Linked DNA regions of Cricetulus griseus. The protein of the gene in region 5 purifies or fractionates together with the protein of the main gene of each other region. This does not show direct contact. Links are inferred from orthologs where the notes say so. Each region holds a gene or a part of one and is shown on either strand. Other genes may lie near its edges.

Region 1 (3,958 bases), on a different chromosome or scaffold from region 5:
GAGCACTGGTGGAGGTGAGAACTCTCTAGGGGCAGGCTGCTCTGCTGCTGTGATCTTTCAGCTTTCAGCCTGATAGCTGACTGCTAGAATTCGTGCTACACTAGATCTTGAGACATAACTGAGAGTTCAATGCTTAAAAAAAAAACTTTATCAAGAGGCCTACACCCCATCACCAAACCAATCTTTACCCCCTTTTCCAAAATACAACTCCATTCATCCTGATCACCTTTATCCACATTACCTTCCTCAGTCAACTCCCTGCTTTTAGACACGAAAGAATTCAAATCTCTGAGCACCAACAAAAAATAAAAAGCTGCTCAGATCATGGAAGGCCCTAGAATGGCTTCTTACAGCTTTAGAATAAAATCTACACACAGCCATCTGTGACCTGGCCTTTGCCTTCCCTGACCACCTTATTAAACCTCCCTATTTCAGTACTCATAATACAAAGATCATCTCTACACCTCTAGTCCTCCAAATACTGTGCCAATGCTCAGGCTATATACATCTGTTAAGGACCCTATTCCTTTATTCTGGTCTAGGTTTTAGCCAGTACACTTAACTATCACCACCTTCAACAAGCAGGGCTATCTGTGCTGTCAGTAATGTGACTTTAAAAGAATTCAAGACCATTCGTACCAGTTACTCTGGCTCTCCACATCTGGTTGAGATCTCCAAAACAGAATTAAGTCTCACATCAGATATGGTTTGAGAAGCCGTGGGATATACAAGGAGACCCATGTGGCTCAAGAGAGACACCTAAACCCAAAAAAAGGAGCGGGACGTTAGCAGCTAAGGTTGATGGCAGAGGTAAGGGGGGTTGTACAGCTCATGGTACATTATTTGACTAGCATATACAAGGCTCTAGGTTTGTTTCCCCAACACCACAGAGGGCAGAAAGGGGGGTTGATGAGAGAAGGCACAAGGCAGTGATTCTCAACTAGGAAAAAAGACACCCCTCATCTCTAACCAATATATAAAATGTTTCTGATGGGAATGGAGGTGGTACTATATAACTGGTGCTGAAAACCAATGTTCTCAGGATAGATTACATGCAGGAAAGGGAGGGAGTGAAAACTAAAGAAAAAAAAAAACAAAAAACAGAACATCAGATTCCCCACACTTACATGCCCTTTTATGCCTTTCCCCTACTTTCTCCTGCCACGTGACTTCAACTCGTGCTTCACCCAATTCAAAAGCCACCACCTTCCAGGACTCCCAGACTTATAAACGTATTAACACTCCAAGCATCTGTGAATTTCTGTTGTTTGCATTATACACAAATTTGACCCAGACAGGTGTTACGTATGGAACACGTCTGAATCCCAACAATCAAGAAGCTTAAGCTAGCGTGGATTTCATAGTGAGAGCCAGTCTGAGGGGAAAAAAAAAAAAAAGGATACGACACTAGAGAAACTTCTGATCCTCAAACAAAGAGTAATTTTAAAACCTATTTTCTGACTTAGTTGAATCAGGACGTATAAACAATTGAGCAGAGGCTACGAATGATTTCCCCGCTCAATCCTTTTGTAAACTAAAACAAACTCCGTTTCTTAAAGTAACAACCACCTGTAGTCTTTAAGAATCAGTTAAACACAAAATATCCTTTTCAAAAACACCTATCATAAAGATACAATACACATACACAATACAGTGATGTATGCATGAGTTTACATTATAAATTATTGTGCATTCTATACAAAACACACAAAAAATGTTATGAAGACGAAGAACTTAAGAGGGTATCAACCGTCAATTTGAGCCAACTGCTAACTGAATTACTGGGATGGCCACTGCTTGCAATCCAAGGCTACCCATCCAGTCAACATTTTTCCTCCAAGTTCTACACACATTAACAAGTTCCTTTTAAAGGAAGGCGGGGCATTGACATCGCAGGCTTGCAATGTCCGCCCTCGGGAAGCTAAGGCAGGGAGCCCGAGTGTTCCAGGCCATCCTGGGCTACTTAGCAAGACCAGCCCTCGGTAGCACAAGGTCAGTAACAAGACCCTAACGCCACTCCTGAAAACTGGGTGTAAAGTCAGTCCAGTCAGGCAGAGAACGCGGATGAGTAATTTTAAAGTAAAGATTAACAACTTCTTGCCACAGGTTCACACGGGTGTGGCGCACCTTAAAGGACAAGAGCCCTGGAGAGCAGGAAGCTACGGCTCTCACACTCCGTGGGTCGGACTGGAATGCCAGCTCCCCCGACCTCTGGCCCCCGCAAACGCCCAACTTTCAGCGAGGGGGAGAAAGGGGGGAGGGGCGCGGCCGGCACAAATCCAGGGAACAATCGCGACCCTTAAAACACCCCACCGCCGGAACGCCAGAGACACTCCGAGGTCGCCTCTCAGCGGGGGAGGCGGCCCGAGGCGCGACGCCCGTCCCGCGAGCGCGCGCCCTGCTCGGGGAACAAAGTTTAGAAAGAGGGAGAAAGTTTTCCGAGAAGGCGCCGCGGCGGTAGCTCCGCTTCCCGAGCGTCGGGCTCCGCCCGCCCAGGCCCAGGCTGCTCCGGGAAGCCGCCCTGGCCCGACGCTCCCCAGGGCGGAGGCCGCCCAGAGCCTGCCTGCGCCGTCACCCGGACCCCGGCCAGCGGAGACCCTCGGCCCACCAGGGGCCCCGCGCGCGCCCCGAGGGGAGGCACAAAGATTTACCTGCGGCGAGCGAGGAGAACGCAGGACGACTCCTGAGGCGCCAAGCCGACGGCCGCCGCTTTGTCTCCCGCCCGTCCGGCTCCCAGGAGGAAATGGGCCGCCCTGCGCTCCCGCCCCCGGCCCGCCCCGCGCCGCGCCCGCCCGCCCTTCCCGGCACCTCCCTCCGCGCGCTCTTCCCAGCGCCTCCCGCGGCCTCCACACCGCTCGTCCCGGCCTGCGGCGGCGGGCGCTTTCGGGGAAGAGCCTCCCTCCGGGATGGTAGCCTGGCAACTCCAGGCTGGGACCCCCAGAAGTCCCTTTCGTTCGGCCTCGGGGCGCGCACAGCCTGACCCCCGACGGGAAGGAGGGGCGGCGACTCACGGAACAGCCCGCAGCCGGGGAAGGCGGGCGGAGGGCAGGTGAGTCACCGCTCCCAACTCAGGTGAGTCTCGGGGCGCGGCCCCGGAAGGCCCCGCCCCGTCCGACGTCCCGGGACCAGCGTGACGCCGCGGGGTCCTGCTGGTCTCACTCCTGTGGCGAATGTCATCTTGTCCCCTGGTCCAAGGCGCCCAGAAAAGGGGGCAGCCTACTCCTTGCTTTACCCGAAGAGAAACAACTCCAAGTAAACGTTCCACATCTCCCGGCACAGTGGAACGGGAATCCGATTCTCAGAACGGTTTTTTGTTTTGTTTTGTTTCGGGTTTTTTTTTTGTTTTTTGGTGTTTGTTTAGTTTTATTTTTGAGGTAGGTTCTCACGTAGGTCAAACTGGTCTTGAACTGGCTATGTCGGCAAGAATAAACTTTTTTTTTTTTTTGCATTTGGGCCGAGGGGCGGCACAAAGCTTGTGCTTGTGTACAAATCAGGATAATCTGTGGTTTTCTCTCACCATGTGGGTCCTGGGGATTGAACTCAGGTTGCAGGGCTGGGTGGCCAGTGCCAACTTGCCTTAAACTCTTGATTCTCCTGCTCACCTCCCAGCTGCTGAGATTATAGGCCTGCACCATTACACTTGGTTTGGGGCCTCTTAAAGAGTGGGCAGATGAGAGAGATGATCAGTGGGTAAAAATGTTTGCCCTCTACCAACAATGACGTACTAAGAGTATGAAGGCCACAGAGTTGACCTCTGACTTCCACCCTGGTGCAGGTGGCATATTCACCCACACAAAGTAATAAATTTTAATTCTAGGAAAAGTGGTTTGGAGATGCCTACTATGCCCTGGGTTCAGTCTTCAGCACTACAAACAAAAAAGGCCATTCTTGTCCAATTACATGCTTTTTGTTTCTAGTTTGGGGGTTTTGACTCTGGTGGTTTGAAAGATAGTGGCCC
Region 2 (4,084 bases), about 99 Mb from region 5:
TTACCTGTAAATATAATATTCTCCAAGGTCTTAGGTGACCCCTGTGAAAGGGTTGTTAACCCCCAGAGGGGTCTCGACCCACAGGTTAAGAACCGCTGATCTATATGATATATTCCCATCTTACAGGTACAACAGCAAAATAAGATCTTTTTGTTGTTTTTCAAGACAAGGTTTCTCTGTATAACAGCTCTGGCTATCCTGGAACTCGCTCTGTAGGTCAGGATGGCTTCAAACTCACAGAGATTTACTTGCCTCTGCTTCCCCAGTACTGGGACCAAAGGTGTGTACCAACACCACCTAGCATATTTATTTTATCATCTTTTCAAGCCTGTTTCTAGTCCAACCTTCTCATCTCAAAGATATGGACACCACCCATTCAGGTACTCTCACCTCTAGGAGTCATCTATGTGCATGTGTGAGTGTATACATGTGAACTTGCGTGTGTTCTTGTGTACTACACAAGTGCATGAGTGCATACTTATGTGTGTGCCTGTGAATATAAATGCCAGAAGTCAAGTCAACCTCAAGTGTTATTTTTCAGATGTCCACCTTGTATTTTAAGACAGCTTCTCTCACTGGCCCCTGGGGCTTATAGATTAGGCTATGATGGTTGGCCAGCAAGCCCCAAATTTTCCTGTCTCCGCCACCCCAGAGCTAGGATTACAAGTGCACATGTCACTATACTGGATTCTTATGGGATCTAACGTGAGTCCTCATGCTTATGTGACCAGCACTTTAATGAACTGAGCCACCTTCCCAGTCCCCGAGAGTCATCTTTGAATGTTGTCAGACAACATCCAACCCGTTAGAAAGGTCTGTAAATACTACATCCAAAGCACAGCCTGAGTCTAACGACTGTTCTCCATCTCTGTGCTCCACCCTCCACTACAGTCTTTTTTGGACCACAGCCTCATACTGCTCTCCTGTCACCCTGGCACCGCTGTCCACCCAGACCCATTCTTCCTACAACTGCAAAGCATGGCATGCCACTTTCCCATTCGAAAACATCTGCATTCTCCCTGGGCTCAGAATAAAGCTTAGCAGCTATTTACTTCAGTCCAGCTTCATCATTTACCTCCCTACCTGTGACCCCCTTCAGTGTCACTCTCCCTTGGTCACCACCTTCAAGCCACAAGAGCCTCTTTGCTCACTGAACTTGAAGGTTTTTGTACCTTAAACATGTTTCTGAAATGTTTTGCCCCTACTGGTCAACCACAGCAAGGATCCTTCTTGGCATTCAAACTTCAGATGTCACCTGCACAGAAAAAGTCATCACGACCTTCCAATCCAACAAGTCACCCAATCACTCCAAATCGCATCCCCTCGTGTTAATTTTCTGCACAGCAGTCACCGCTAACTGCTATTATTATTTGTTCACTCTTTGTTTCCTTTCCTCCTGCGGGTTTCAAAGCAGCGAGCAGGAACAGTGAGCACCTCCCCTCCTAAAATTTCATCCATCAGTCTCAGCCACTATACAAGAGTCCCAGGTCTAAACAGTGTTTCCAAGTTGGTGGAGAAATGAATTCTGAATCACGATCCACCACAGTACAGTACACCTAGTGCCAGTCAAACCACTGGCCGGAAGATCTTTAGCTAGTTCATTCATTCGATAAACAAACATTTACCGAGCTCCTACTCTATGCCAGTGGGGCAAAGGCTCAAAGGCAAGTTCTGACTCCCAAGAACCACAGGAAGCAGAGGGACGCTGCAACACAGGCACACCTTCCCGAGCGGGAAAGATTAAGACTCTACTCGTGTCCCTTATGGCTTCGAGATCAGACCCAGAGTAACTGGTGCAGCAGCACGCCGCGGCTCAGACGCCAAAGCTCCTACTCCCACTAGTCCAGGCAGAGCCGATAGTCCGCGTTCGTCTGCGTTCAGCGCCCGCCGAAGACTCGCGGGTAGAGTTCCATCCAGGACTATCATTGGCTGGCCGGGAGCCCCACCCCCATCCCATCCCTGAGGAGCAAGGATGCAGCCGCCAGGGTCGCGCTCCAGCTCTCCTTGGCGATCCCAGGCAGCGCGGCCAGACACCACCTTCCACAAGCGTCGCCGCCCCTCTTCACCCTCCCCCACGCCCAAGCCCTAAGGCCACACTCGGGACCCACGCGAGCCCTACTCCCTGACACCCGCCACTGTGCCCAACACACGCCCCGGGGGTAGGCGTGTCCCGGGAGCCTAGGAGTTTGCTGGCTCGGCCGCCGGCGGGCGGGAGAAACCGGGCCAGGCCCCCCGCGGCGCGGCGAACCCCGGTGCGCGGCCGTCCCCGAGCCCGCCACCCTCGGGCACACAAACCCGGGGCGCCGAGCCCGCCAAGGCTGCGGAGGGGAGAGTCAGGTGCGACCGCAGAGCAGGCTCACTCACTCGATGAAGAAGCTGGCGCCTTCCTCCGTGAAGCCCTCCTCCCAGCCGCGCGGCAAGTCTGCGGGAAGGCGAGAAAAGTCGGTGAAACTCGCGCGTCCGTGGCGTCCCCCCCTTACTCCCCGCTGGCCCTGCGCCCACCTGAGCGGATCATGTGACCAGAGTTGACTGGCTCGCCGGTACGCGGGTGCAGCCAGGTCGTGCAGCCGAGCTGGTCACTGCGGGAGAGGTGCACCTGTTAGCGCCACCGCCCCACACACCCGCCCCGGGTCCCAGCCCCCAGCGCCCGACCCTACCCGAGTGCCGCCGCCCCTCACGCACTTGATAAAGAAGACGCGGCCGTCCCGACAGACGCCGTACGACCAGTGCTCAGGTAGGGTGTCCCGCCCGACCGCCGCCGCCATGTTCGCCCAGCACCAGAGCCCCGGGCCGCGGTAGGGGGGAGGGGCTAAGGGGCGGGGCAGGGGGCGGGGCGAGTGGGAGATAGGGGTGCAAGAAGTTAGAGTGGGAGGGACAAGAAACAGGGAGCTGGAGTAGCAAGAAGTCCGGGAGCAAGAAGTTGGATGGGGCTAGGGAGGGAAGGGGTAAGGCGTGGGGAGGGGTAGAGAGAGGGGTCCAAGAGGTTGGAAGGAGTGAGGCGGCGAGGCAAATAATGGGAAGGGACTAAGATGGACCCGACTCTGTTCTCCTGTGCTGGATGCAACGTGGGCTCCCATCCTTGGTGACTCGTGGTCTGGTGCCTGAGCCCGAGATCGCGGCCGATGACTCCAAAGTACACTGGTGCAGGGGCAGGGACCGGCAGGAGCGCAGGGCCCCTCAGCCTTTGTTCCCCAGACCCGCGGGCGATGGAACACACTGCCTACACACACACACACACACACGCACACGCACACGCACACGCACACACGCACACCCTTGCTTCAGGAAAACCAGCCAACCTGCACGGCGCAGTTTCTTTTCCCCGGAAGTGTGCTTCTTTCTTAGCCTAGGAACACCGAACAGGTTTCTGCTGGATTCCTGAGGGAGAGCCTCCAGGGCTTCTGTAAAATAAGTGAAAAGCTTGCCTGTGATTCCGGCTGAAGGAAGAGGATTGCTGCGAGTCGGGAGATTGGACAACATGGGCAACTATGAGACACTGTCTCAAAAAGTAAGGTTAAGAATGAGGTCTAGCCGGGCGTTGGTGGCACACGCCTTTAATCCCAGCACTTGGGAGGCAGAGGCAGGAGGATTTTTATGAGTTCGAGACCAGCCTGTTCTACAAGAGCTAGTTCCAGGACAACCTCCAAACCCACAGAGAAACACTGTCTTGAAAACAAAAACAAAAAGAAAGAAAGAAAGAAAGAAAGAAAGAAAGAAAGAAAGAAAGAAGAAGAAGAAGAAGAGGAAGAAGAAGAAGAAGAAGAATGAGGTCTAGCAGGAACTGTGTGCAGAGTAGGTGTAGTAGTTTCCCTGGAACCTGGCATACAATGGGTGCTCTAGTACCCACCAGGGCAAGCTTGCATTTATCTTCCCGGGCTCACGGCAGGTACAGGTCCTCTCCATGCCCCCATACATCTGAAGCTGCAGAGATCACAGGCTGCTTCTGCCTCAGCTCTCACAGGTGACAAAAAAGAGGTGATGTCTGGGTTTCCCTGCTTTCCCTTTGGAAGAGCTGTCAGTCTGCAGTCTCTAACACTTGCCTCTTTAAGTATCCAACTCTGGGGGCGGGGGCTCTCCTGAACCC
Region 3 (4,169 bases), on a different chromosome or scaffold from region 5:
AAGCTTTAAGGTGTGCACTAGGCCAGCACGCTTTTCTTTTTTTTCCCACTTTTACACCAATCTCACTTTTAAAAACGAAGAGTTTATAAATCCCTCCCTCTGCCAAGGGGGATTGATGCAAGAACCACGCTAGAAACAAACACACGCCTGAGCAAGAGGGATTTAATTCCGTTATAAAACCAGTCTTGGCCCCTCCCCTCATAGAAACTCAGGGGCATGTCATCTAACATATGAACCAATATTCTTAACTTTATGATGGAGCTAGCCTGCTTTTGTCCATCAACTTTATAAACCCTCTTCATTTTTACTGGACTTGAAATGCATCCCCTACCCTCTCCCCTGTGGCCCTGGAGTCACGTTTTTAGCACAGTTTGCACACTAGCATTTCGCATGGTCATTCCAATCTAATCGCCCCCGCCCCCCGACCTCTTCAGAGAGCCTAAATTAGCTTAGCTTTTAGGCAGAGAACCAAAGGGAAGTTGTGGGTTGAGTCAAAGGCACCATAACAGCTTTTCAGGGTGGTCTCTCACTGCAAGCATAGGGTCGTCATCTGATTCCCTTGGCTGCATTTGAGAGACCCGTCAAGGATACACGCGGGAACCACCGCTGGCTCCTGCTGCCCTCAAGTTAACCACTGCTTCTCTGGGAACTGCGCTGGAGCTTCATAGGGCTTCCACACGCACGTTATCTGATGTGATCCTCAGGCCAAGCCCGTGGGGTGTGCGTCGTCCCCGAGCCTATTTTACAGCTGAGGTAAGGATGGTGTCCACAGACCCAGTCCTAAGGGCCGCCCACTGCCAGGTGGAGGAAGTAGCCGTCTGGCAGGAGGGCAGGTGTGCCTCCCACAGCCTCTCACCTGGCGGGCGACCGAGACCAGGGAGATGGGCCTGGCGGCGGAGGCCGCTCAACATGTCGAACCCCCCAATCTATCTCCGCCAGCCTGGGCCGGGACCCCAGTCCCCGACCCGCCTCACCACCATCTCCCCCGCCCCCAGGCTCACCTTCGGATCGCGGCAGACAGCGTCTGGAAGGGACTGAGAAGCTTCGCGTCCGCCGCAGCCTGCCGGGGTCAGAGACCCACAGTCCAAGGCGACCGCGGCGGTGGTCACCCAAAGGCCTGTGGGCTCCGGGGGAAGAAAAACCCGTACCCGGTCAGTCCGCTGACATTTCCCCGTCAGTCTGAGCTCCACCCACTTCCGCTTGCCTGTCCTCTCCCCAGCCCCAGTGCCACCCTGCGCCGCGGGGGGTTGTGGGTATCTGGAGGGTTTGGCAAAAAAAAAAAAAAAAAAAAAGTAAGAGCGGAGGAAGGAGGAGTGAACCTAGTCGGACTGCGAGCCAGGCCCCAGAACTACAATTCCCAGCAGGCGACGGGGCATCAGAAGGCGGCTGCTGGAGAGCGGGATGCAGAACTCCGCGCGCGCGGTGGTGATGGAACGTTGCTAATTCGCGGGTCCGGCTGCTGGGGCCCCGGGGCATTACTCTGCGGCGCGCGCTGGAACGGGAATCTGGGAGGCAGGCAGGTCTTCACTTAATACACGCATCCAAAACCCCTCAATCCGTGAACGCAATGCACAGGTAAACCGATTGCAAAAACGGGCAAAGCATGAATGAACCGTTTGAATTCTTTTAGGCCGCGAATGTTGCTTCTTGCTCATCTTATTATGTGAATGGTTGCTTAGCCCCCTTTTTGAAGATAGTGGATGGATGCATGCTTTCGTGAGAATATCTATGTGCCGTTTAATTTGGCTTCCTAATTTGGTTTTCCTCCCACTATTTTGAATCATGGTATGAATGCCTTCCCTCTTTTTCCCTCCACGGGAAGAAATTATTGAGGCCTTCTGCGGGACCATAAATACCAAAGCCTTTCGAAGTGGAGTGTGTGTTTCCGATTTTCTTTCATTCTTGTGAGCTCGCTGTAGGCACGTTAAAAATGCAGTACTGTTACTCACTGTAACTTTTCTACACTGCATACTTGACGCTTCTTTCATTCCTACCTTGGAATTATTTAGGGGTATGCTTTCAAAAGGAATGGGGAATGTGTGCCCTTCTGCAGGAAGCACCTTCAGGAGATTCCGGACCAGAGTAGCAACGTCACCACTAGCTTCACATGGGGATGGGATTCCAGCAAGACCTCTGAACTGCTCTCAGGCATGGGTGTCTCTGCCTTGGAGAAGGAGGAGGTGGACAGTGAGAACATTCCCCATGAACTGCTCTCGAACCTCGGCCACCCCCAGAGCCCTCCAAGGAAAAGGCTAAAGAGCAAAGGCAGTGAGAAAGACTTTGTGATCATCCGTAGGCCTAAGCTCAATCGAGAGAACTTTCCAGGTAAAGTATGATACTAAAATTCAAATTATATAAGAAATGGATTGCACTGCTTTGTTTGAATTAAATTGATTGAACGATTTCCTTGGGGGATCTTTAGGATGGGTACCTAAAATTGCCTAGTTTTGAAGTGTTGCCGTGAAATGGAAACCAGTCGTTGAAGTCTCCTGGAATCTTGGTAGGTATTTATCTTCTGGTTCACAATTGACTTGAAACTTTTAACCCACAAGACAGCATTCCTCCCCTTTTCCTTACAAGGGAATCTCCCTGCTCAAAGTTCAGCTCAGCACACTGATGAATGGGAATACAAGCAGGATCTTAGAGGATTCCTTTAGTCTCTAATGCACTGCTTTGTACCAGAGTGAACTTTATAACTTAATCACTTAGGTTATTTGGAGGCACACTAGGAAGGTAAATGTTAATCTAGGGGGAGGAGATTTACCTCCCTGCTCCACTTCCAACAGGCTCTTGGGGTGTTGTGTTTCCAGTTCTGTGGCATTATAGTTACAATCATAGAGCCCTAAAACTTACTTAGTCTGATCCCCTATTGTCCCCCAATTGACATCTAGTCATTGTACCTTTCCTTCCTTTGTGACAAGTGATCCAAGCTTTCACAATCTCTTCCTGAATTATTGTAATGGGTTTATAATTTCAGCTTTTTTTTTTCTCAGTTCTGTCACCCAGAGGTGAAATGGATTGATTAAAATAGAATTTACCTTAAATTATCCCCTTACTAGTGACTCCCATTCCCTTATTTCCCAAATATTTTTAAGCAAATGCCTCCCAAGTAGATCAAGACTCAAGCACCCAGGGCCATAGGGTAAATATAGTGTATTGACTTGAGGCGTTGACAAGGTTCTTTTGTTTGTTTCTTGTCTTTTAAAAGAGTGATTCATAGCCGGGCAGTGGTGGGCATACCTTTAATCCCAGCACTCAGGAGTCAGAGGCAGGTGGATCTCTGAGTTCAAGACCAACCTGGTCTACAAGAGCTAGTTCCAGGACAGCCTCCAAAGCCACAGAGAAACCTTGTCTCAAAAAAAAAAGAGAGTGATTCATCAAATATTTGCTGAAAACACACTATGGTTTCCACAGTATAGTGCTACGAATATAGCAGTGAACAAATCATACACATTTCTAAACCTTAGAACTTCCTTTCCAGTGAGGAAATAGTATAAACACATTAGACATGCTATTCTATGTAATGGGTTAGGCCATGGTAGCCAAAAACAGAAACAGATCAAGCTGGGGGAGAATGGAAGCCCTGCAGTCAGAAGATAGATTGTAAACTGGGTATTAACTAAAACCCTTAATTGGATAGTGACCTTTAAGCAAACAAAGGCAAAGTGGAGAGAGAGCAGGAGTATGTCATGAAAATGTCTCTTGGTGTAAAGAACCTTAAGCAAAAGGAGCAGCCACTGTAAAATTTCCCAGAGAAAAGACTAGGCCATATAGTAAAAGTAGAGTAGGGAGAAATATGGACAGCCCCCTTCTTTTAAGATCTTACCTCATTGAACCCCCCCTTCTTTTTTTGTATTTTCATGTTGTTTTGAGACTGGGTTTCTCTGTGTAGACCTGGCTGTCCTAGCACTCTAGACCATGCTGGCCTCTAATTGATCTACTTGCCTCAGTGCTGAGAATAGCAATGTGGGCCACCACCCAGATGCTCATTGAACCCTTTAAAGGAATACATTGGTAAACTGAGACTAAACTGTAGCAGGTAGAGTATAGACAACAGAGCTTAGAGACATGTTAAGATGTGGGGAATAATAAGCAGTGGCCAGATTCTGAATAGAGTCCAAATTTAGAGACAATAGAAATTAGAAGGGTATTGAGATTGTTAGTGGAGG
Region 4 (4,214 bases), on a different chromosome or scaffold from region 5:
TTATCCGCCTTACTCCAGTTTCTAGAAGCCAAGGACCTGTTCACAATTTCCCAGCAAGTCCCCAGGCAGATGACCTTCTGAGCAGAGGGGAAGAACACTGGTCCAGCTGCACTCTTGGCTAGCTGGCCACTGCTTGCTCCAGCTCAAGCTCCTCCTTCAGGAAGCTGTCGTCCTCCTACCACAAAGCTGCTCAACAAAGTTCACAGGCCCTAGTGCATAGTAAGTGCTCAATGTACGATCAAAGACAGCCGAGGACCAGGTGGATAACAGGGACAAAAACCATTTAGCCAGTCCTCCTTAGATCCTGGGACTTAGAGGACCCAGACATGCTCCATTCCCACCCCTACTGTCAGATGAGAATGGGGTAAAAGCCCAAGCAGGAGGCAGCCTATAAGCTGGAGGCTGGTGGGGGGCTGGGGAAAGGGACACGACAGGAAACAGAAGAGGATTGGGTGGGAGAGATAGGGTTGCCCTAAGGCTGGAAGAACAAGGATGAACATGAGATGGGGCGTGCCCCTAACACTCATTCTCAGTGTGTACCCCAGGATACAAGCAGTCAGCTGAGAGGTGACACACTATAAGTCACTTCCCCTTGTGGAAAGGCCACCTCACCGGGACACACCCCATCTCCAGCAGGGCCTTATGGCTCTGCCAGGTGGGGGTGATATGGGAGGAGTCTTTTTCCAACAATGCCTTGTTCCTGACCCCAAACTATACAGCCTTCACTGTCACTGCAGGTTAAAGGGCAGCCAGCCAGCTCCTCTGAAGTCTAAGTTCCAGTTCCAGCTGCAGACTGAGCTAGCCCCAGGAGGAGTTCAGTGAACCTCAACAGCTCTGATCATCATGGCTCCACCTGATTTATCTGTCCGTCCTGTAGTGCCAAGGCTAGCACCAGGGCCTTGGGCATGCGAAGCCTGTGCTCTACCACTGAGTGCCTTCACAATCTGATTGATCATTCCTTTCTGACAAGACTGAGGCAAAAGGAACCCAGAGCTGACTATATTCACACAGCTGTGGGCCACAGGAGGGTGCTCGGATATTGAGGCTCTAGGGCACCCTTCGAGACACAGTTACCCTCTCCTGCAGGCAGCTGTGCCACAAGCACCCCAGTCATCTTGTGCAGGCTCCAGGGTGGAACTCATTTATTGACACCCCACCCCATGCATGCCAACTCCTTAGCTGCCAGAAGCACAGGGAGTAATCACCTGAGGACCCTGTCACTGCTGTGAAGGATCCAAGGAGCAGCCCCCAGCTCAGATCACCCAGGAAAACAAGAGACTTTGATGCTTGGACTCAAAAGTCTGGAAAGAGCCCCATCCCCGCCCGCCCCGCCCCACCCCCGCACGCGCCCCGCCCCCATGCCCACCTTGGAAACTGAATCTGACTTCCACCCAGGTGAACCCATCACCATTGCTCACACAGTTTGTGAGTCAGGGAAGACCTTGTTTAGGGCCTCATAAGCCTCACACGTCTCTGTCCACTTTTCTCCCTCTGAATACCTTAGAGGTTTAGGGGTTACCCAGGGAAAAGTCCCCTCTGTCCACTCCACTCTTCAACCAGCCTAGCAGTCCTGGCCGTCTACCCATCACTGAGAAGGGCCTTGGCTCAGAGAGCTAAGGCAGTTGTCTCCAAGACACACAGCATGACAAGTGGTGGTTCTAGTGGGGACACAAACTCACCTCCAGTACCTGCCCGGGTGGGCAAGTGGACCTAGTAGTGGTACTGAAACACCAAAACTTTTGCCAACTTCGGAGCCGGCAGGTCGCTGGGCCCGAGGAGGGGCGAGGCTGGGGGCTGGCGGGGGTGAGGGGAGGACAGAGTGGCCCAGTCTCCGCCAGGCCAACAGCACCAGGCCCTAACCGAGGCCCGGAGACCCAAGGAGGTCGCGTGGCCACCAGGGAGCCCAGTCCCCAGCGCCCACCCCACCCCCAACCCCCACTCCGGGCCGGGGGCGCAGGGCCCCGCAGCCGCGATCGCGGGCGGCGCCGATCGGCCGGGTTTTCAGATGTGGCCTAGCCGGGCTGGGGACTCTGCGGCCGAGGGTCCCCACGCGCCGGTGCCCCCCGCGCCCCGCCCGGCCTCCCCCGCGCATCCCAACAAAAGGCCGCGCCGGGCAGGTCGCGGGCCGCGGCGGGGAGTGGGCAGGGCGGGAGCCCGCAGCGGGGCGCGGGGCTGGCGGGGCGGGGGCGCTCACCTGCGGCGCGGCCGCGGGCTCCGGACGCGCCCGGGCGGACCCCAGCGGGGCGCGCAGCGCTGGCGGGCGGCGGCCTGGCCGCTCCGGCGGGGCGGCCGGGTGGATTCCGGGCCGGGAGAGACAGACCTAGAGAAAGGGAGGAGGCGGCGGCGGCGGCGGCAGCGGCGAGGGGGAGGGAGCGCGCGGGAGGAGGGGCCGCGGCCGATGCGAGCCGGAGAAAGAAGGAAGCGCGGACCCGGGCCCCGCCGGCGACCCGGGGGACCTGCTGTGCGAGCCGGGCCCCGCGCCTCCCGCACCCAGCCCCCTCCCCGCAGCTCCACCCGCGGGGGCGCCCTCTCGCCCCGGACCAACCTAGCTACCTGAGCTACGCACCGATGGCTAGCACTATCTTCCAGACACGGAAACTGAGGCAACTGGCCACACCAGCTTTGACCTGATTGTCTTTAACCAGAGACTGGGACCAGAGGGGCAGAGTGAGGAGGAGAGAGGCAGCTTTATTAAAATGTATCAAGAGGCGAAACAGTGGCTCACTATGTGACACAGGCTGGCCTTGAACTTGTGGGAGGCTCCAGCTTCTGCCTATGGAGGGCAGGGACTGCAAGCATCAGGCCAGCCCTAAATTCATTTTCAGCGCATGCAGAGACCACGTACATCTGCTGGGAAGTATGCAGGTAGTCAGCCACTGAGGACAGCAGGATCAGCCAAACAGGAAGTAGAGAAGGAAAATGGGATAAGGGGGCGGGATGTGGTTTCAGGTTGGTCTCAAAGACCACCCCTCACAAACGCCAGTCCCTGTCCAGGTTCTAGGGCTGCCCCTTGGGCCAGGGAGGGGGTCCACCTCTGACTCCTCCGTTCCCCTCTAGAAAGATGAATCCGACCATCTGCCTCCATCCTCCTTCCTTGAAAGTGCTCCCATCTCACAGGTGGCCAACTGAGACCCAACCAGGTTAATGTGGCACCAGGCCTGAGCTTTCTCCTGGTGGAGACCCCTCCTGAAGGGCAGGTTCCCATCCTCCCAGAACATAAGAGGCTCCAGCCTCAGGGTACAATGTATGTCCCAGCAGGCCAGGAAGGAGCAAAGCTTTGAGTCAGGCTGATCTAAGTTCACATCTAGGCCAGGTGCCTCAGGGTTTGTTCAGTCATCAGTTTCCTGTTCCAGCCTCCTCCCGTTGTGAAGTAGGTAGGAGTGGACAGGACTGGGATCTGAAGGCCGCACTGCTGAGTGCAAGTGTGGCCAGGGTAGCCCACTGAGCCAGAAGAGAGAACGGGGCTGCTCAGGATCCTCATGAACAGCAGGCAAAGTAGCCACTCCTGTTTGCAAGACTTGCTTAAAGTTTAACGGCAGTTTCCCAGGACTCCCTTGGGCAGGCCCTGGCTGGAGGAGCAGGTTTCTCCGCCCTCTTCCCCGCCAAAGACTTGTCTAATGGCCTTCACTGGCCACACTGGGCTGGGGGAAGGGTGGCTACTCTTCCTGTAAGGTGCTGGAGCTGGTTCTCAGAGGCTTGCAAACACTTAGGACCGCTGTCCTCCTTCTCAGGGCCATATTCAGTGATGTCAGACTGGTCACCTGGCATCGGCCTCCAAGGAAGTATGTTCTACTTGGAAATGGAGAAATTTGACAAACCATACCTTAGCTTTTTCTTCCAGAGAGTTGCTTGTTAAATATTTGCCAGCGTATCACTACATCCATTGCTGGAAGTTCAACAGAAAGATCTGGACATTGGGCGTTTCCAAACCTAAGACGATGGAAAGCTTCAAAGTACAAACTTTGGACCCATGGGCTTGGGTTGAGGCCTCAACTCTACCTCTTTGCAAATATATAAATGACCAAGAACACGCCATTTTTCTGAGCTCAGTACACCAAAAACCTGCAAAATGGGTAAGGACAACTCATCCTCAGAATTGGCATGAGAGGAGAGAGAGGTGAGGTAGGTTTGAACTGTCTATGCGGCCTCACACCTGGAACTACCTCTAGCTCTGAGGTCACAGTAACAGCCAGGGCTCTCAGAGGAAATGGCCA
Region 5 (4,042 bases):
CTCAGTCTGTTTTACAATGGACCCTGTTTTCCCCAGACACAGGCACACATACCCTGCCCTTCCTTCAACCCTTCCTTCCTTTCTACCTCTTTTCTTTCTTGTTTTTCTAGAAAAATTCTGATCTCACTCTGTATCGCAGGTTAGTCTAGAACTCACTACATAGACCAGGCTAACCTCAAACTTACAACTTTTAGCAACCCTCCTGCTTCAGCTTCCTAAGTGCCGATTATAGGGATGAACCACCACACCAAGGCTCAGTTCTCACTTGCCCCCACCCTCTTTCTGAGAGAAAAAGGAACCAAACAGAAAAAGACTAGTCTTAGATGCTTCAGACAATACAGAAGCCAGGCAAGCCCCTGAGTTCTTTCTATAAGGACTAGAATGGTGTCCACCTTCCAGAAGATCTCATTTTCACAGTTGGGAGCATAACTGTGATACTATGTCACTATGAACAGGACACTAGAGCTTAGATGTGCAAAATAAAAGCAAGACTAGTGCCAAGGTAAGCCTATAATCCCAGCACTCAAATCTGAGGCAGGAGAAAATTGTGAATTTCAGACTAGCCCAGTTCATGAAAGAGATCTAGTCTCAAAAACAAAAACAAAAACACCAATAGACTGGTAGTAAAGTGCCTGGCTAGCATGTAGCAGGCCTTGGGTTTGATCCTCAACACTCCTAATACACACAAATACCATCCTAACTAAGGAACAACAATGTGTCATCATGCCAAAGGAAAAACTACCATCCCTTGGATTGTGATACCTAATACTATATACTCAACGAATTCCCATGTCTAATCCTGCACAGCTCAAGACTGGGTGGTATCTTTCCAGAAGTCTACTGGTACCCTTGGAAACATCCCAGGCCACCCACACCTCACTAACCTGTCCCAAAGTGCCACTGAAGGGTCTCCTAAAATGCTCTCAGCAACCTATCCCTGCTCAGATTATTCCTCAGATGGACAGCAAGTAGAAATAGGCTGGGCAAGCATTGACCACTCCAACCTCAGGGTCACAGGACAGCACTGCCTTCCTCGGCGGAGAAAGCTCCACAGAACCAGTCAGGTCTCAGAAAAGCAAATACAACTAACCAATGGAGCTGCTATTTCTCTGTAAAACACATCAGCAAACCTGGGCACAACTTCCAAAGTTAACAACAGAATTTTAGACACCACCATCATTTTTGGTGGCCTATGGCTGGAAGGACAAACTTGGTCAGAGGGTCAGAGGGATTGAGTGACTTTTCATATATATATATATATTCTATCATGAGAGGTTTTGGTACAAAAAATAGGGAAGCCAGTAAAAAAACCTGGGCATTGCCTTGCTCCCAGCCATGCCCAACAGGGAAGCAAAGAAAATTCTAGATTATCACAGTGAGATAAGACTTGAAATATACTGAGTGCTTGCATGTATGAGTCAGTGCTACCATCTTTTTCTAACGAGGCCAGCCTGGTCTACAGAGCGAGTTCCAGAACAGAAGAAGCCAAACTTATATCAAATATTTTCAACTCTATGAACAAAAGCCACAGGTCACTAAGAGCCAGTTCTTCAGTGACTGCCTAAATAGTGGGAGTCAAATCCCGGTTCAGATGCCTGCCCTGCCTCAGATTGCTCATCATTAAATGGGAATATCGGCAAACTGGCCCTACCCAGCAGGTTTTGGCGGTCTAAAATGATAGGCTGGCTCCAGCAATAAGTCAGAGAAACACTGATAACCTCTAAATATCCTTGGCCCATCCCTGTCCTTGTATAAATAGCACAGTCAGACAAATCTACCTTGATCAACCACAATTCATATATTTAGACTTCCAAGTCGGCGTAAATCCCAAAGGAGAGTTTTGTCCATTCCTTCCCCCCTGCCCAACTCTGCCCACCAACAGAGCCCCCTTACCTTTGCCCAGGAGGTGGCCTCTCTCCAGGTGCCTCCACGGCACCTGGAACGTGTAGACCTCGGCACTAAAGCCGGGGCGGCAGGGCTCGGGCTCCTGCTCCTGGCAGAGCCATGATGAGACCTGGGGTGGAGGAAAGGTAAGCAACCTGGTGACTTGGGGAAGCCCGCACCGAAACCACCAACGTAACCCTTCCCTCGCCTGAGGTATCGGGATTGTGGGAGGACCCTCCTCGGGGCAGACAGGGACGCCACCCTCTCAACCCGAAACCAGCCACAAAACTCCAAGAACCCTTGGGGGAGGGGACTGCTAGGGTCACCACCTCTCAGCCTAGACTACCTTTACTGCCTGACTCCATTTGCATCACACTGGAGACGCCTTTACTCTTCCGGACACCACTTTCCTTAGACCGCAAACACCCTCTGACTCCTCTTTCTTACTCCAGAGAGCACCCACCCCCAGTCTACCGTGTCCCCTCTTTCCACGGCAGGTGCTTTTATGCTACTAAAGTCCCTTTCCTTACCTCGGATCGTCCGCGCTGCTTCTGCCCCCCACCCTTTTTTCATGCAGGACCCCGTCCTGCTCCATGGCCCCTCTGCCCGCCTTAAAGCGGGACCCTGCTCAACTCGGGGTCCCGGGAGCCCGCAGCGTGGCGCGCCCCCACCTGGGAACCTGCGGGAGAGGCGGCCACTCCGCGCTCGCCTGGACCCCCCTCCCACTCCACAGCACTCAGCCCCGCGCCTCTGGACCCCAACTTTTTGAAGAAGGAAAGAGGGATGGCAGCAGGCAGAAAGAAAGGCACAGCGAAGCGGGTCGCAGGGCCGGAAGGCGTCCTGCCGGGAGTCGGGACACTCCAAGTACCTGCAGCAGGAACAGGATCGCGGAGAGGCTGCGGCGCGGGAATCTCATGGCTGGCCGGGCGGGCGCCGAGCAAACACGGAACTCGGGTGCGGTCGGGCAGGGCCAGGTTAGGCCGGGCTGGAGTCTGGCAGAACTTCCGAGAACTCACTGAGACGTCGCTGCTCCCCACTCCACTGAGCCAGGCAGAGGCTGCGGCCGCCAGGTGAGCCTGAAGGCACCGCCCCCGGCTCCACTGATTGGCTGAGGACGCACCTGCAGGTGGCAGCCAAGGAGCCTTGCGGCCCTCGACTTCCTCCACCCTTAATTGTAGTTGGTGGCATGGGGCCGGGCTGAGGAGACTTCCTAGTCCATATTCGTTGGAATCCCAGCCCAGTCATTGTAACTTGGAATTACAAAGGACTTTACTCTTCATCTAGGTTTTCATTTCGTTTTTCTTTATTGTGTTTGGTCGGAGGGGTTTGTTTGGTTTGGTTTACTTCAGGATTAAAAACTAAAAAACATCTTAGCGCGCGTGTACGTGTGTGTGTGTGTGTGTGTGTGTGTGTGTGTGTGTGTGTGTGTGTGTGTGTTTATATTCGCAAACGCACGCGCCACAGCCGGTGTGGAGATAAGATGACAGCCTGCAGGAGTCAGTTCTCTCCTTCTGCCAAAAAGGGGTCTCGGGATTGAATTCCCATCATCAGCCTTTACTGGCTGAGCCATCTCTCTATAGCCTGAGGTTTTTTCTTTTTGATTTTTCTTTTTCTTTGTTTTCCAGCCAAAACTGGCTTGGAACTGTTTTAGGTAGCCCAAGCAATCCTCCTGCTTCCGCCTCCCAAACGCTGGGATTGCGTAAGTGAGCCACCAGATCAGGCTCATCTAGTCATCTAATGTTCTAACATCTGTCCCACTCCCTTTTGAGACATGGTCTTGCTATGTAGCCCGGTAGTAGTCTCAGCTTCCCCACTTCTGGGGTGGAACTAAAAATACCATACCCCACTAAAATCTATTCTTTTGTTTGTTTGTTTTGTTTTGTTTTTTGTTTTTTTCGAGACAGGGTTTCTCTGTGGCTTTGGAGGCTGTCCTGAAACTAGCTCTTGTAGACCAGGCTGGTCTCAAACTCACAGAGATCCGCCAGCCTCTGCCTCCCGAGTGCTGGGATTGAAGGCATGTGTCACCACCGTCCTACAAAATCTCTTCTTTTAACTTCCGTTTTCAGCAGGCTAGTAAATCAGGGAGTATATCCAATGGATTAGAATCCCCTGGGGCAGAAATTATAGGCACTTTTCAGCTGCCCAGTGTGGGAGCTGG

Evidence for each region.
Region 1: the proteins of Cdh1 (region 5) and Ctnna1 purify together in Homo sapiens (affinity purification with western blotting; 10 studies listed by BioGRID and IntAct, with this or other methods). This does not show direct contact. The link is inferred for Cricetulus griseus from reciprocal best matches to the Homo sapiens genes CDH1 and CTNNA1.
Region 2: the proteins of Cdh1 (region 5) and Plekha7 purify together in Homo sapiens (co-immunoprecipitation; 3 studies listed by BioGRID and IntAct, with this or other methods). This does not show direct contact. The link is inferred for Cricetulus griseus from reciprocal best matches to the Homo sapiens genes CDH1 and PLEKHA7.
Region 3: the proteins of Cdh1 (region 5) and Skp2 purify together in Homo sapiens (affinity purification with western blotting; 3 studies listed by BioGRID and IntAct, with this or other methods). This does not show direct contact. The link is inferred for Cricetulus griseus from reciprocal best matches to the Homo sapiens genes CDH1 and SKP2.
Region 4: the proteins of Cdh1 (region 5) and Src purify together in Homo sapiens (affinity purification with western blotting; 5 studies listed by BioGRID and IntAct, with this or other methods). This does not show direct contact. The link is inferred for Cricetulus griseus from reciprocal best matches to the Homo sapiens genes CDH1 and SRC.

The regions. Positions count from the first base shown.
Region 1 is NC_048595.1:202,375,355-202,379,312, forward strand, and holds the start of Ctnna1 (catenin alpha-1), read right to left. Parts: upstream 2,801-3,958; 5' UTR 2,652-2,800; intron 1-2,651. UniProt on the Homo sapiens protein: Associates with the cytoplasmic domain of a variety of cadherins. The association of catenins to cadherins produces a complex which is linked to the actin filament network, and which seems to be of primary importance for cadherins cell-adhesion properties.
Region 2 is NC_048596.1:84,335,198-84,339,281, reverse strand, and holds the start of Plekha7 (pleckstrin homology domain-containing family A member 7), read right to left. Parts: upstream 2,801-4,084; 5' UTR 2,766-2,800; coding exon 2,683-2,765; intron 2,580-2,682; coding exon 2,503-2,579; intron 2,423-2,502; coding exon 2,365-2,422; intron 1-2,364. UniProt on the Homo sapiens protein: Required for zonula adherens biogenesis and maintenance. Acts via its interaction with CAMSAP3, which anchors microtubules at their minus-ends to zonula adherens, leading to the recruitment of KIFC3 kinesin to the junctional site.
Region 3 is NC_048595.1:342,748,792-342,752,960, reverse strand, and holds the start of Skp2 (S-phase kinase-associated protein 2), read left to right. Parts: upstream 1-1,369; 5' UTR 1,370-1,567; coding exon 1,568-1,575; intron 1,576-2,053; coding exon 2,054-2,325; intron 2,326-4,169. UniProt on the Homo sapiens protein: Substrate recognition component of a SCF (SKP1-CUL1-F-box protein) E3 ubiquitin-protein ligase complex which mediates the ubiquitination and subsequent proteasomal degradation of target proteins involved in cell cycle progression, signal transduction and transcription.
Region 4 is NC_048599.1:22,117,671-22,121,884, forward strand, and holds the start of Src (proto-oncogene tyrosine-protein kinase Src), read right to left. Parts: upstream 2,801-4,214; 5' UTR 2,567-2,800; intron 1,810-2,566; exon of another isoform or gene 1,680-1,809; intron 1-1,679. UniProt on the Homo sapiens protein: Non-receptor protein tyrosine kinase which is activated following engagement of many different classes of cellular receptors including immune response receptors, integrins and other adhesion receptors, receptor protein tyrosine kinases, G protein-coupled receptors as well as cytokine receptors.
Region 5 is NC_048596.1:182,914,898-182,918,939, reverse strand, and holds the start of Cdh1 (cadherin-1), read right to left. Parts: upstream 2,801-4,042; coding exon 2,753-2,800; intron 2,015-2,752; coding exon 1,894-2,014; intron 1-1,893.